2 linked regions of the Cricetulus griseus genome follow. Each later gene encodes a partner of the first gene's protein in a complex. Links are inferred from orthologs where the notes say so. Each region holds a gene or a part of one and is shown in the gene's direction. Other genes may lie near its edges.

What was found.
Region 2: the proteins of Tlr4 (region 1) and Ly96 are in contact, whole or in part, in a crystal structure (PDB 4G8A), measured with the Homo sapiens proteins. The link is inferred for Cricetulus griseus from reciprocal best matches to the Homo sapiens genes TLR4 and LY96. Residues at the interface, in NP_612564.1 of Homo sapiens: Gln39, Met41, Glu42, Asp60, Ser62, Phe63, Asp84, Ser86, Arg87, Thr110, Gly111, Val132, Val134, Glu135, Asn156, His159, Ser183, Ser184, Asp209, Leu212, Arg234, Val259, Glu262, Phe263, Arg264, Asn265, Glu266, Arg289, Ala291, Tyr292; in NP_056179.4 of Homo sapiens: Met40, Tyr42, Ile66, Pro67, Arg68, Arg96, Ser98, Asp99, Asp100, Asp101, Tyr102, Ser103, Phe104, Arg106, Leu108, Lys109, Gly110, Glu111, Thr112, Thr115, Thr116, Ile117.

Annotation. Positions count from the first base shown.
Region 1 is NC_048595.1:79,142,372-79,149,746, reverse strand, and holds the start of Tlr4 (toll-like receptor 4 precursor), read left to right. Parts: upstream 1-2,634; 5' UTR 2,635-2,883; coding exon 2,884-2,973; intron 2,974-7,375.
Region 2 is NC_048595.1:144,327,507-144,334,927, reverse strand, and holds the start of Ly96 (lymphocyte antigen 96 precursor), read left to right. Parts: upstream 1-2,426; 5' UTR 2,427-2,452; coding exon 2,453-2,564; intron 2,565-7,421. UniProt on the Homo sapiens protein: Binds bacterial lipopolysaccharide (LPS). Cooperates with TLR4 in the innate immune response to bacterial lipopolysaccharide (LPS), and with TLR2 in the response to cell wall components from Gram-positive and Gram-negative bacteria.

The DNA of each region.
Region 1 (7,375 bases):
AGTGCACCATGTGGAGGAGAAAGCTGTACACTCCTGGTCACGAATTTCCACAGCAGGGAAGAAAGCCCTGAAAGAGCCACTGCTTGTGTTTAATCCTAGGAGCCAGGATCTCAGTGCCACAGAAGCCCAGCTTGTGGCCTTCCTACAGGGCCTGCGAGATGATGGCTTCCAGGGGACCATTCTGTGAAGTGGTGATGTCTATGGCTTTAGTTCATGCACAGCCACCGCCCCCCAGCCAGACAAAGCTACAAGCTCGTAACACCAACCCATCTGCCACATCTCTTCCATCCAGGGCTCCCCAAAGTGCTGTGTTGCAACCTGCAATCCAGCCACACTGCTCCCGTGCCACTGTTTGGCAGGCTGACTAAGGGGTCCACACCGGCCCTCGCCAAGCATGCTACCACTAACTTGCTGCTGAGCTCTCTGAAGCAATCAAATGCCAGCCACACCAGTGGTACAACAGTAGGCTTCCCTGCCCACCTCTACCCAGGTGTCTACCCTGACATACGACTGTCTGTGGTCCTTGAAGCACTGGTTCCACTCAAGATTCCTTGCTTGGGTATTAAGAACAGGGCACAATCACTGCTGCTGTCACTTGCAAACTCTACCCTGAAACTGAGAAAGGTTCGGGGAACCCACAGTCCAAAGCATCCCAGAAAATAACAAGCAAAGGCATCAAATGCCTGAGTAGGAAAGGCCCTGGGGCTGATCAACAAGGCACTGGGCCCCGGAGCAGTGGCCTACGTGTGAAAGGGTACTCTGCCTTGGGCACCAAAACAGTGCGGGCCAAGGCATCTCGAACACTGACCAAAGCTGCTCATGCCCACGCCAGCCTAACTCGAACCCAGAACAAGTCAGTAAGGGTCAGGGCCAAGACAACAAAGACCAAGCCCAGGGCAACAGGAGCCAAATCCAAGGCCACTGTAGTAAGGGACAAGGCTAAAGCCAAGGTGGTCAAGGACAAGCCAAGGCCAAAGCAGCTCAGACCAAGTACAAGGGAAGGCCAAAAGGATCTGTTCAGAGTAGAACTGGAAGGACAAGCCTGAAAAGTGGCTCTGAGTCTGTGGGGAAGAAGAGGAAGAAGGCTGAGGAGGTAAAGGGTCTTCCTCCTAAGAAGAGAGCACAGTTTGTGCTCCAGTCTTCTAAGGCAAGGCTGCGGCCTAGAGCAAAACCACGAAAGTCCCAGACTATAATGGAGCACAGAAAATTCTCAGAAGATGAGGTTCTACAGTGGGCCCAGCAGATCCTCCGTGTGAACCTCTCTCCAGTAGTATGGCTCCAGCCATTGCTACCATCTTGATTCCATACTCAGCATCCTGAGTCATCCTTGGCAGCAGTGCTTGGGAAAACAGTTGGGCTGTCCATGTGACCAGTATCACAGTGTGCTATGCTCGTGGACTCTGCAGCTTTCCAGACTCTGGGTACCTCCAGGACCCCTGTGGTCACCATCCTCTTTTCAGAAGCTGAGGATTTGGGGTTGGGTGGGTAGCGGTCTGGGTGTTCTCATGGCTCAATATACTGTGACTTGTTCTTCTAGTTGTACATCCAATGTTCCATCTATCATGTTTTATATCTTTCCACAAAAAAAAAAGAAGCAGGGGGCCGGGCATTGGTGGCACACACCTTTAATCCCAGCACTCAGGAAGCAGAGACAGGTGGATCTCTGTGAGTTAGAGGCCAGCCTGGTCTCTAGAGCGAGTGCCAGGATAGGCTCCAAAGCTACACAGAGAAACCCTGCCTCGAAAAACAAAACAAAACAAAAAGAAGCAGGGCCTGGGGAGACATGTCAGTAAAGTGTTTTATGTGCCAGAAGACCTGCAGACTGCTAGCACCCTCATAAAAACTGGATGCTTTGCATGTACCTCTAACTCCTGCACTGAGGTAGGGGCAGAGAAGACTAGATCTCAGGAACTCACTGGCCACTCAGTCTAGTCAATGAATGAGCAGTCAATTAGAGACCCTGGCTCCAAAATTGCAGTGGGGTCTTCTGAGTTTTACCCTCAGCTCACTAGCCAACTCTTATTCTTGGGAATGCATTCCCCTTTGTAATAAACTGTGTCTGTTCCTTTCTCTAACAGTAATAATAATAGTTATAATTAATAATTAATAGTAGCAGAAGAATGGAGACAAACAAGGAAGTCATCCAACAGTGAACTCTGGTACACACACACACACACACACACACACACACACACACACACTTGCAAGTGTACACAGAGAGTACACACACATGAAGTATTCATCCCCCCCATGAATAAGCAGGTACACATACACAGGTGCGTACACATATACCCAACCAAGAAAAGATCAGGACACAGACACACCCCACAACATCATTTTTCTGGCTTCCACCCTTCAGAATTGTGAGAAAATAAGTTTCTGTAGTTTGTAACACCCAGTGCAGTACTGTGCCGTCAGATACCTAGAAGTCTAGCTTGACCACTAGTGAAAACAAAACAGGAATGTGGACGTTGCTCCAGGCACATATACTGGCTTCATGAGTATCTGGTTACTTTCTGCGTTCCCCAAGCCCAGAGGTCAGATGACTTCCTGGGATGAAAGCCAGCTTCCTCTTGCTGTTCCTCCACAGGCTGGTCGGCAAACGCCTTCTTCCTGTTCTTTCCTTAGTCTTCTATCTAGCCTCCTGAGATAGGGTAGATACATTCTAGAGAAAGAAAGAAAAAAAAAAAAAAGTGAGAATGCTAAGGTTGCCACTCTCACTTCCTCTCACCCTTAGCCCAGAACATTTTTTAATATAGTTCTTTCAGAGGGGCACCCGCCCAGAGAGAAGAGGCCGGTGCCCCAGGGACTCTGCCTTGCCAACGGCTACAGTTAGTTCATCATGCTTTCTCACGGCCTCGGCTGGTTGCAGAAAATGCCAGGATGATGCCTTCTTTCTGCCTGGCTGGGACACTGATGATGGCATTGTTCCTCTCCTCCCTGAGACCTGAAAGCTTGGATCCCTGTGTGGAGGTATGTGTCTCGACCAGCTCCTTTCCTGTTAGCCTCCCTTGTTTCTCAAAACTCTCCCTATGTCGGAGCTTCCTGCTGTGTGTTCTGATTTGTTTATTTTGCACACAGGAGTTAAACTAACCAAAAACTTGAGAAGCTGTGAGGACAAAGAGACTCTGTGTTAGCAGGGCAGCAACAGGCAGCCAGTCAGTGTCTTGTTCTGTTTAGACTTCCGAGCCATGATTATTAAAGACTTGAAATTAGTAAAACTAAGGATATTGTTTCTGTGACTTGGCTGAGTGACAGCCAAGAAGTTACTGAACCTTTCTGAGGCCAGTTTTCACACTGTAAAAGAATTACAGTGCTCACAGGGGGATTGGAGAAGGCTAGTAATAGCAGGCCTTTCTGTTGGTACTGTGGACACTCAGCTTTCAGAAGTCATTCCTTTCCTTTCCTACTCAGGTAAAGGTGGCTGTCATTTCTGTCTCTTAAGTAGCATCTGTGTATGATGGAGTGGTCGATCAGCAGGTTCAGTCAGTTGCTGACAAGCCTGACTACCTGAGTCAATCTTCAAGCCCCACATGGTGGAAGCAGAGAATCTACTTCATTCTCTGAGTTCCAAGTGTCTGCCCTGACAGTTGTGTGCATGCATGAAAGTGGACACACACACACACACACACACACACACACACACACGCACGCACGCACGCACGCACGCACGCACGCACGCACGCGCACACACACACATGTTAATAACTGTAATTTTTTTCCAAATGAAAGAATTTTCTGAGAATTTTAAATTCTACCACTAATTTTAGAAAATAATGAAATGGGAGGGAGGGAAGGGGAAAGACAAACGGGAGGAAGATAAAGACAGAGAGACAGAGAATGAGATAGACAGAGACAACAGAAAGAGGCAGAGAACAATGTAAAACATCAGCTAAGGCAGTAATTCCCTTCTTGGTGAAACAATGACTAGTGAGTAATATGATTCATGACTAATTCTTATTTTCTCACTGCACAGACCACACAATTATCTCAGAAGCTCACAATAGAGCTGAACAAACAGGGAAATAATTTAGGGCGAGGCAGGCTCAGAAGCTCAAGACAGGTATTACAAGTTGGAGTCACGGTGTTGACCTGGAAAAAATATTATAGCATAACAAAGACTAACTCCTTGCTATCTCGGTATCTTGTCTTCTGATTCCTTAGTTATGCTGACAGAGATAGAGTTTCCAATCAGTTTCATACTGAGAAAAAATCCTGTGGTATATACTGTACTCTGGAAACCCCCATAGTCAGCCTGTTTCTTCCATAAGCTCATGTCTCAGTTCCATGGGCCTTGTCTCCAGGGATTATGACTGGTTCCCTAATTTGCTGTCCTTTCTGTAACCACACTTTCATCTCTATTTGTTTTCACCGGGCCAGAGGACTGGATTTATCAAATTACTCCTTTACCATTTTTAATAACTCTTTAGTGCCTCCAAGGCTGTTTTTCCTACAGAGTAGTTTCACTGCTTGTCCTACCCACACAACCCCTCCCCTAGATCAGAGCTGTCTTATGATAAAATTTTGGGATCTGCTTATATAGTTTAAAATGTTCCTGGTGGTCAAACTGAAAAAAAATGAGTGAAGTTATTTTTAGTGATATATATTATATAATCAAATATAGTCCAACTATTAAGAAGATAGTTTATGTTCCATTTTTGCTACAGAATATTAGAAAGTCAGCAATATTTTATGTTTACTACAAAATTTGATTTATACTACACACATGGTTCATGTTCAACAGTTGTCTGTGACATATAGCCACAGACAGAATGTAGGACTTTGATTTCAGGATTTAATGTTTCACTTTCACTTTATGTAGATCTCTGTAAAAGGGTCTCCCCAGGGTGTTTTTTCTTGATTCCCAGATGGAGATATCTGCCTTTGGCCTCTTTGTGTGTGTTTTCATTGATCATATCATATCATATTTTTGTCTGTTTTTAATTAGTTATCCTTCCTTTTCTGCTGGGTTTATCAATATGCCACCAGTGTCTAGATCATAGTAGGTCTTTAGTTTGTATGCAAATGAAAGAATGACTGCTGGACAATGTCTGATGCTCTTGTGTTCAGGTTGTAGCTACCCATAACTTAAGGCTCTCCTCCCTTGCCTGTTGCTAGCCAATTCATCTGAATTTGTTCCTACCCTTTACTTGCTTATGTTCTTTTCTTCTTATGATTTACATTTCTTCCCTTTTCCACATGTCAGATACTGCTCACCTTCCATGTTCTGGGTCTACAATCAGTCTCTATTACCTGTGAACCAGGCTTGCTTTGTAGGTTTTAGTCCCTTTCCTTCTCTTCTAACTGATGTTGAGTTCGATGACAACTGGAATTGTACAGCATTTATTTTTGTACTGCTCATGGCCCTTAGCAGAAAAAGCCTACCATTTGGTTTACATGGACCTCTGTTCACCAGGTATAGAATTTTCTATCATTCACTCATGCAACAAATAGCTAATGGGCATTGACAGGTCACCTTGCAACTTTCTGAGCCTTGGAGACAATGTACCAAACAAAATCATCAGAGCATCAAAGCTCATAATCCAGTTCATCAAATGAACGACATTTGGAAAATAATTATATAAGCAACACAAAGTTGCTCTGTGATTGAAACCTATGAAGGAAATAAAAGAGGGCAAGTGAAGAATTTCTTCCTGACACCTTATTCTATTAGAAGCACTCTCTTTAAGGATACTATGGTAAGTATCGTGTAAGCAGACAAATGTGAACATACATGGATAAATCCTTTATGTGCATTACCCCATCTTCTCATTTTTCCATCTTTAAAAGATGTTTTGAAGATTAACATAAAATACATAACATGTAAGTAAATTGTTGATATACAGCAAGGGATTAATAATAGCCAATGATAATTAACATTAATATTCATCACTTTAATTATAGCAAGCTTTGAGATAAGATCTGATCTCATTTAATCCTTTGAGAATTCTATTTCTTTTAAATAAGAGAAAGCAAAACTCACTGGGTTAAACAAAGAATTTTCTGGAAGAAATCATGTAATTATGAAATTAATTGGAAGGTTATGGAATAGGGTTTACAGTAAATATGAGAAAATAGATAAAACTAAGTGGGGACTATAACAGCACAAAACACTTGGCCTTGATCAATGGATTCCATGTACTCTAAGACTTCCTCTCATTCCTACACCAAGTTGCTAAAGTCAATAAGCCAAGAAAGAAAATGTAATTGTCTAAAATAGGTGGTATCTAAAAAATATCTGGATGTCTTCATTGGTACTCTCCATGTGTCTGTATATAATTAGGATATGTAATTAGAATGATAGTAATTTTACATAAAACTATGTATTTACAAAATATGTGTATTTTACATAAAACTAATTAAATTAGCTGAAGGTATTATAAAACAAACATTGTCTCATTCTCAACATTCATTAGTTTGTAGAGAGTTGAGGACTCCTGAGCTTTTTACTCTATCCATGGTAGCATGTCTTGTTGTCATGTTTAGGAAGTCATGTTAATGAGGCTTCTTTTTTTCCTTTTTAAAATTTAAATTAGAAACAATCTTGTTACATGTCAATCACAGTTCTATCTCCCTCCCCTCCTCCCCTTCCCCACAGCAACTCCCTATCCCATCCACTTTCTGCTCCTCAGGGAGGGTGAGGCCTTCCATGAGGGATTATCAAAGTCTGTCTTTATGAGTGTAGTTTCTGACATTATTAGGAGACACAATATCACAATAAACTTGTTCCCTTGGATATTATATTATATTATATTATATTCTTTCATTGCCCCGTTTTACAATGACCTCTGAGCTTTAGATGCAAGTGTTTTATTGTTAATGTATCCCTTGGAACTGGGATGCAGAATTATGCATTTTGATTGGTTTTGGTTTTCTGTAATGGTCTGTTGTATGGGAAAGAATCTTGCTGGGGAAGAGAATACTAATTGGTTACCAAATATGAAATGGTCATCCCTGAAAAGATATATATGTAATATTATACAAATTGATCAGGCTGTACTTATGTAATTATGGTATATATATATATATATATATATATATATATATATATATATATGCATGTAACAAAAACTAATGAATAAAAAGAGGAAATGGATTTGAAAGAGATCAAAGAAAGGGGTGAGGGAGGACTTCAAGGGAGGAAGGGAAATGATATAATTATAATCTCAAGAATAAATAAATAAAATGGTTAAAAAAAAGTTTCTTTGCACCCCGTGGCACAGAACATCTGTTATGAAACCGAGGATTTAAGAATTGATAGCCCTTTAATTCCTGATTCTCTTGTTCCTCATTTAATAATGTTTTTTTTTTTTGTAGTAAAAGGCTAACACTGTGAGAATTCAGGGGATACTTTTTTCCTATTGTATAGAAGAAG
Region 2 (7,421 bases), about 65 Mb from region 1:
ACTGTTGCTCTCAATATCTGTGCTACTGGTGATCTATTTAGGAAGTGGTCTCCTGTGCCTATGAGTTCAAGGATATTTCCCACTTTCTCTTCTATGAGGTTCAGTGTGGATGGATTTATATTGAGGTCTTTGATATTTTGATTTGAGTTTTGTGCATGGTGAGAGATATGGATCTATTTGCATTCTTCTACTTATTGACAGCCAATTATACCAGCACCATTTGGTGAAGATACTTTCTTTCTCTTTTCTATTTTATATTTTTAGCTTCTTTGTCAAAAATTAGGTGTTCATAAGTGTGTGGGTTGATATCAGGGTCTTCAATTTGATTTCATTGGTCCACCTGTCTGTTTTTATGCTAATACCAAACTATTTCATTACTATAGCTCTATAGTAGAGCTTGAAGTCAGGGATGGTGATGCCCCCAGATGATCCTTTATTGTATAGGGTTGTTTTAGCTTTCCTATGTTTTTTTTGTTTTTCCATCTAAAATTGAGTATTGTTCTTTCAAAGTCTGTGAAGAATTGTGCTGGGAAGTTCTTGTCACCGTCTCGGAAAACAAAACAAAAACAAAAAACCAAAAAACAAACAAACAAACAAACAAACAAGAGTTTGGCAATGTTCCTTCTGTTTCTATTGTGTGGAATAATTTGAAGAGTGTTGATATTAGTTCTTCTTTGAACATCTGATAGAATTCTGTGCTGAAACCATCTGGGCCTGGGCATTTTTTTGGTTGGGAGACTATTGATAACTGTTTCTATTTTCTTATGGGTTATAGGTGTATTTGAGTTTTTTATCTGTTCTTGATTTAATTTTGGTATGTGGTACTTATCTAGAAAATTGTCCATCTCCTTAAGTTTTCTGATTTTATGGAGTATGGCCTAGTTTTTATGATTTATTTATTAGTTTATTTATTTGAATTCTGGTCTCATGTACCCCAGGTTAGCTTTGAATTCACTCTGTAATTGAGACTAACATTGAACTCCTGATCCTCCTGCCTCTGTCTCCCAAGTAGAACATCCTGTAGCTCTTTTGCCATGCCTGACCTGATATAGTTTGTTTTGTTTTGTTTTTTTTGAAAAAGATTTTTTATTATGTTATATTTAAAAATACGTATTTATTTTATGTGCATGGGTGTTTTGTGTGCATGTGTGACTGTTGGCCTTGTGTGTGTCTGGTACCCATCGAGGCCAGCAGAGGACATTGGAGGACATTGGATACCCTGATAATGGTGTTACAGATGGTTGTGAGCCTTTATGTAGTTGCTGGAAATTGAGCCCTGGTCTTCAGCAAGAGCCAATACTCTTTATAGCTGAAACATGTCTCCAGCACCCATTATTTATTTATCAACCTATCTGTCTATCTATCTATCTATCTATCTATCTATCTATCCATTTATTTATTTATTTATTTATGATTTTTCAGGACAGGGTTTCTCTGTGTAGCCTTTGTTGTCCTGGAACCCACTCTGTAGACTAGGATGACCTCAATTTCACAGAGATCTGCCTACCTCTGCCTCCCAATTAAATGTGTGCACTTCCACTACCCAGAAAACTTTCTAAAAATATGTGTATATGTGTCTGTGTGTGTGTGCATTTGCACAGAGGAGTGCAGTTCCCATGTTCAGAAGAGGACTTAGGACTCCCTTAGGGCACATATTAGCATACACAGCACCAATCCCAATTCAGTCCACCCCAACTCAACACCACAGCCTCAAGCTCAACTTCCTTTTGAGTATCTTCTCAAGACTGGTGAGGTCCCAGCTGGGAACTGCAGCTGATATCCCCAGTGTGGGGGTATCATCCACCTTTCTATTTTGTGGTTGAACCTTTTTGTTGTTGTGTAGAAATAGTTTTCAAGAGATCAGCTCACATAGCTAGATGCATCTTTCCAGGCCAGGAGAAACCACTGTATGAGCTTGCAGGAGAGAATGTCATGCACACAGAGTAGTAGTGAGACCCATGGTGGATCTTCTTTCTTTCTCGAGACAGGGTCTCAAGATATAGCCCTGGCTGTTCTGGAACTCACTCTGTAGATCAGGCTAGCCTCGAACTGACAGAGATCCACCTGCCCTTGCCTCCCAAGTGCTAGGTTTAAAGGTGTTTCGCCAATATGCCCAGCTGAGTTTACTTTAAGAAAGGGTCTCCTGTAGGACATTTCGTCTCACTGAAAACTTCCTGTGTGCTAATGATTAAATAAGTAAATAAAATGCCAATTACTTTAATTTACATTAAGTGTTCAGAAACAGTATATTCTAGGTCATTTTCTTTCTCTTGCCTTGCAGCAGAAGGTGCACAGATAACGAAAACAAATGCACAGTCACACAAATAAAAAGAGGAAACAGTTGGATGGGAACTTTGAAATCACATGACTGGTGACTAAGTTTGTTCCTTCTTCCTCACTGTCGAGTCTGATGATCTTCCCTGAGTGTGGAAAGTGTTGGAGATATTAAATCATGTTGCCATTTATTCTCTTTTCCACGCTGCTTCCTCTCATATTTACTGAATCTGAACAGCAACTGTGGTTCTGCAACTCCTCCGATGCAACTTTTTCCTACAGTTACTGTGGTAAGTGACAAGGCAACAAATAACTGCAGCGCCAACTATTTTCAGAGAAAGTTTTCACAGAACCCGAAGCTGAGGGCAGGCGAAAATGTCTCTGTGGCTCCAGCTGTGCGGGCTGCTGAGGTCTGGGGTGGGGATGGGGATGGGGGATGGGATGGGGTAGGGGCGGAGCAGGCCGACCACTTCCGGGTGTGGGTCTTCTTCCACTCACTGCCCACTTACAGATCTCCGAACCGTTTGTTTTTACCTCCGTGTGCTTCTGTTGCTGCAATGGTCAGTCCCCTCCACTCCGAGCACAGTTTCAAGCTCTCAATTCCAGCAGAACTGTTTGCTTTTGAGTCCCAGCCCCGACACAAACTGGTTCCTTCTGAGAAAGCAGACCCATAGCTGCTTCCTGGTGGGGGTTTCCGCTCCAGCCTGTGGTCCTCTAGGGCTAGTGCGTGCAAGCATCTCTATTCTTGGGATGTTAACCTGGTCTCTCCACCGATTGTAGGACTTGAGCAAAGTACTTAGACATTCTCTGCCTCATTTTTTTTTTTTTTAGTTGCAAAATGAAAGTGATTTTAGAGTTCACTTTATGAGGCTTGCTAGAGTTAAGAATTTTACCACAGAGTCACTTAGAAAAAGTAACGCTGATTATGGATTTATGCAGTAATTATTATTACCCTATAATTTGTTTTGAGACAGGGTCTCACTATGTAGCCGTGGTTGTTCTGGAACCAGGCTATCTTAGAAATCACAGAAATCTGCCTGCCTATACATCCAGGGATTAAAGGCATGCATCACCACATCCTGAATATTCTATTTTAGACAGGTTATCAGTATATAGCCCTGGGCTGGCCTAGAAATTGCTAGATAGACCAGACTAGTCTGGAACGAAAGAGATACCCCTGCCTCTGCCTCTTGAATTATTTGCGTATTTTTGCCTGGAACTCACTATGCTGCCCTCAAATTCAGGCTCCCTGTTGCCTCAACCTCCCCAGTGCTGGAACTGCAAATATTTTTCAGTTGAGATAAACTTATATGCTGTTGGTTCATAATTAACGTAATTGTCACCGCACAACTTCTCACTAGCAAATGCCTGGGATCTGAAGACCTAGCACTGGGGGCTTGATAGTTTCAGTTTATTTTCTCTTTCGTTGATTGCTTGGTTGGTTGTCCATTTTTTGTCCTGCCTGGAAATATCTGGATGGTTGGAAGTCGATTCCTTCCGAAATGCCAGTTCTTTGGAAAGCAGGATCTTCAACCTAATCGTCTGGAAATGCAGAAGGGACTTCATAGATGCACCGTGACAACTCCTGCAGTACTGCGGGCTTCCTTCCATGGTAAAGAAGCCCGCCTAATCAGTGTCTCCAGCTTGGTTATTTTGGGGGATGTGCTTGTGAAGCACTTTGACCACAGTTAACATTTATGCTTCTAGAGCATTAGGAAGTTCAGTCTGCTAGCCTCTGTTTTCTTTCTTTTTGGCCCCCCATTTTGTCAATTTACTTATTTTAGTGATATGTGTGTGTGTGTGTGTGTGTGTGTGTGTGTGTGTGTTCTAGGTATATATGTACAGCATGTGCAGGATGGTGTGTGTGTGTGTGTGTGTGTGTGTTCTAGGTATATATGTACAGCATGTGCAGGATGGTGTGTGTGTGTGTGTGTGTGTGTGTGTGTGTGTGTGTGTGTGTGTGTTCTGGTTATATATGTGTACCATGTTCAGGCTGGTGCCCCCAGAAGTCAGAAGAGGCCACCAAACTCCCTGGAATTGGAGTTACAGGCTACTTTGAGCTGACTGATATAGGTTCTGGGAATTGAGCCTGGGCCTGCTCTTATTTACTGAGCCACCTGTGCAGTCCCTACACTACTTCTTTTGGTAGGTACTACATTGTGACTCTTATGCCTATTAATAATGTATAATAAAAATTATTCAGCATTACTCTTTTAGTAGCAATTTAGCTCCCTTTGTCTTTGTGTGTTTGGTTGTTTTTTGATATAGAGTCTCTGTATAGCACTAGCTGTTCTGGAACTTGGTATGTAGACTAGGCTGGTCTCAAACTAAGAGACCTGTGTGATTCTGCCTTTTGGAACTGAAGGCACGGGCTACCACACCTGGCACACACCTGGCTTCCTTAGTCTTTTGATGAGACTTTCTGAGGTAGAATCTGCCCCTTTGCTCTGTGACACCAACAAGTCCTGTGGACATTCCCTGAAGCCCCCCAACATGAGGCTGGAGGATAGCAACGAGGGTCTCTATTCGATGGCCCTGCAGGCTGCCATTCCAGAGTGTTAGCACTCCCTTGCCTGGGAGAGTTCACTAAGACAAAAACACCTCCCTTTGGAACACATTAATTCCTTTAAAGTCGGTAGGTAAGTGTTAGTGACAGTGACAGCTGATTCAGTCCTGACTTTGAGGACAATTTTCAAGAAAGAAGAGAGGTAATTTTTTTTTTTTATCTGGGTAGGCTTAGTTATTTTGGCTTGCCTAACAAACACCATACCAAGTGTGGTAGTGCATGCCTTTAGTCCCAGCACTGGTGAGGCAGAGGCAGGTGGATCTCCTTGAGTTCAAGCCCAGTCTGGTCTGCAGAGTAAGCTCCAGGACAGCTGGGGCTATACAGAGAAACCCAGTCTGGAAAAACCAAAAACTAAAACAACAACAACAAACAAACAAAAAACTACCAACAACAACAAAACAAACTCAAACCAACCAACCAACAAAACAAACAAACAAAAACACAAATCACTATAGTTTAGGGAACTTAAATAAGAAAAAGTTATTTTGGACTGATCTGGAATTCAAAATCAAGATTTTGGCACATTTGAATTCTTCGTGGCTTGCTGAAGAGGTGGTTTTTGAATTCATATGCTCTTCCAAACACATGTCAAATCTATTTGCCATAATAGCATTAAGAAATGGAACATTTTGTTGTTTGTTCTTTTTGAAGCAGGGTTTCACTGTAACCCAAGATGACCTAGAACTCACTGTGTAGTATGGGTTAGCCCAGAATAGCCATAAAATTCATGGAGATTCTTCCAGCTCAGGCTCTGGAGTGCTAAGAGTAAAGTATATGCCACCACATCTGGCTTATATGGCAACCTTTTAAGGCCCACAAAAAAATTCTACTTGGACTGGGCATGGTGTTTCATGTTTCTAATTCTAGCATTCCTGAGGTCAAGGCAGGAAGATTGTTGCAATATTGAGGCCAGCTTGATCTACATAGTGAGTTCTAAGCTAGAGAGTAAGATCCTGCCACAAAACAAAAATGAATGAATGAATGAATGAACGAATGAATGAATAAATAAATAAATAAATAGATTGCCCTCAAGAGTCTGGCTGACTCACTTGAATTTATTTATTTGTTTTTCATAGATTTATTTGTTTAATGGGGCCTGAATTGTGCATAGCTAGGCATGCATTCTAACATTGAGCTACATCCCTCACCCAACTTGAATTTATTTTGGACAGGCATCCACTAATTCTAGCAACATCTTCTACCCCAGGTAGATAGGTGATATTGTTACATCCAGTCCACTGTGTGCCACAAGGAAGAAAAGAGACAACACATAAGTGGGTTACTGATTTGGACTTGGACTAGGGAGCTTTGCTTCTGGCGGCCCTGAACAGGGGCAGAAGAGGGTTTCTTTCTTTCTTTCTTTCTTTCTTTCTTTCTTTCTTTCTTTTTTTTGAATTAGAAACAAGATTATTTTACATGTTAATCCCAGTTCCCTCTCCCTCCCCTCCCCCTACCACCCCTCCCCCAAATAAAACCCTACCTATTATATATATATCCTTTCTTCTCCCCCTGGAGGGTGAGGCCTTCTATAGGGTGTCATCAGTGTCTATTGTATCCTTTGGGATAGGGCCTAGGCCCACCCCTGTGTGTCTTGGCTCAGGGAGTATTCCTCTATGTGGAATGGGCTCCCAAAGTCCACACCTATGCTAGGGATAAGTACTGAACTACTACAGGAGGTCCTGTAGATTTCCGAGGTTTCCTCACTGAAACCCATGTTCCTGGGGTCTGGATCAGTCCCATGCTGGTATTCCAGCTATCAGTCTGGGAACCAAGAGCTCCCTGATGTTCAGGTCAACTGTTTCTGTGGGTTTCACTAGCCTGGTCTGGACCCCTTTGCTCATCACTTGTCCTTCTCTGCAACTGGATTCCAGTTCAGTTCAGTGATTAGTTGTGGGTGTCTGCTTCTAGAAGAGGGGTTTATAAGCACAAAAATCACAAACATTTGTTGCCAAGTTACAGTTATAATTTTCACCAATCAGAAGTCAAAGATTAGGGACTTTTCCTTGTGTGGTCCATCTTTGTCAACCTATACAAAATGGGAGCTCTTCCGTCCATCCAATCAGATTCATTTGTTCTTTCTCTTGTTGGGAGCAGCCACAGTAAGAACTAAGGGGCATAACTGACTGTTTCTATGGTTTAGGCAGGAGGTTTGTCAGTCAATGGAAAGTTCTCATCTCCCCTAGGGCTTGGGAACTTGAACTGTGTTTCATCCTACAGGTAAATGGAGTCTGAAGTCAAAATGGTTCTTAGGTCGAAGTGCTTTTTTTTTTTTTGCATGTTCCCTTCAGTGTCACCCACACTCATCAAAATTCCGGGATTAGTGAGATGGGTATTAATTATTTTTGGATCTCTGGAGGACTGGAGGTGCTAGAAGACTGTATCAATTCTCTCTAACGATGGAAAAGCTGAGAGCTTGGAGTTTCTGTCTTCACACATGCTGAGTAGAGGGGAGAACCAGGAAGTAGCGTCTGTCAGCTCAGACACCTTCTTCCCTGCTTTGCTGTGTAGCTAGACTGTGCCAGATTATCAGAACTCCAAGATGCACAGCCTGGAAGTCAGTCATTGGGAGCTAGATTGGAAG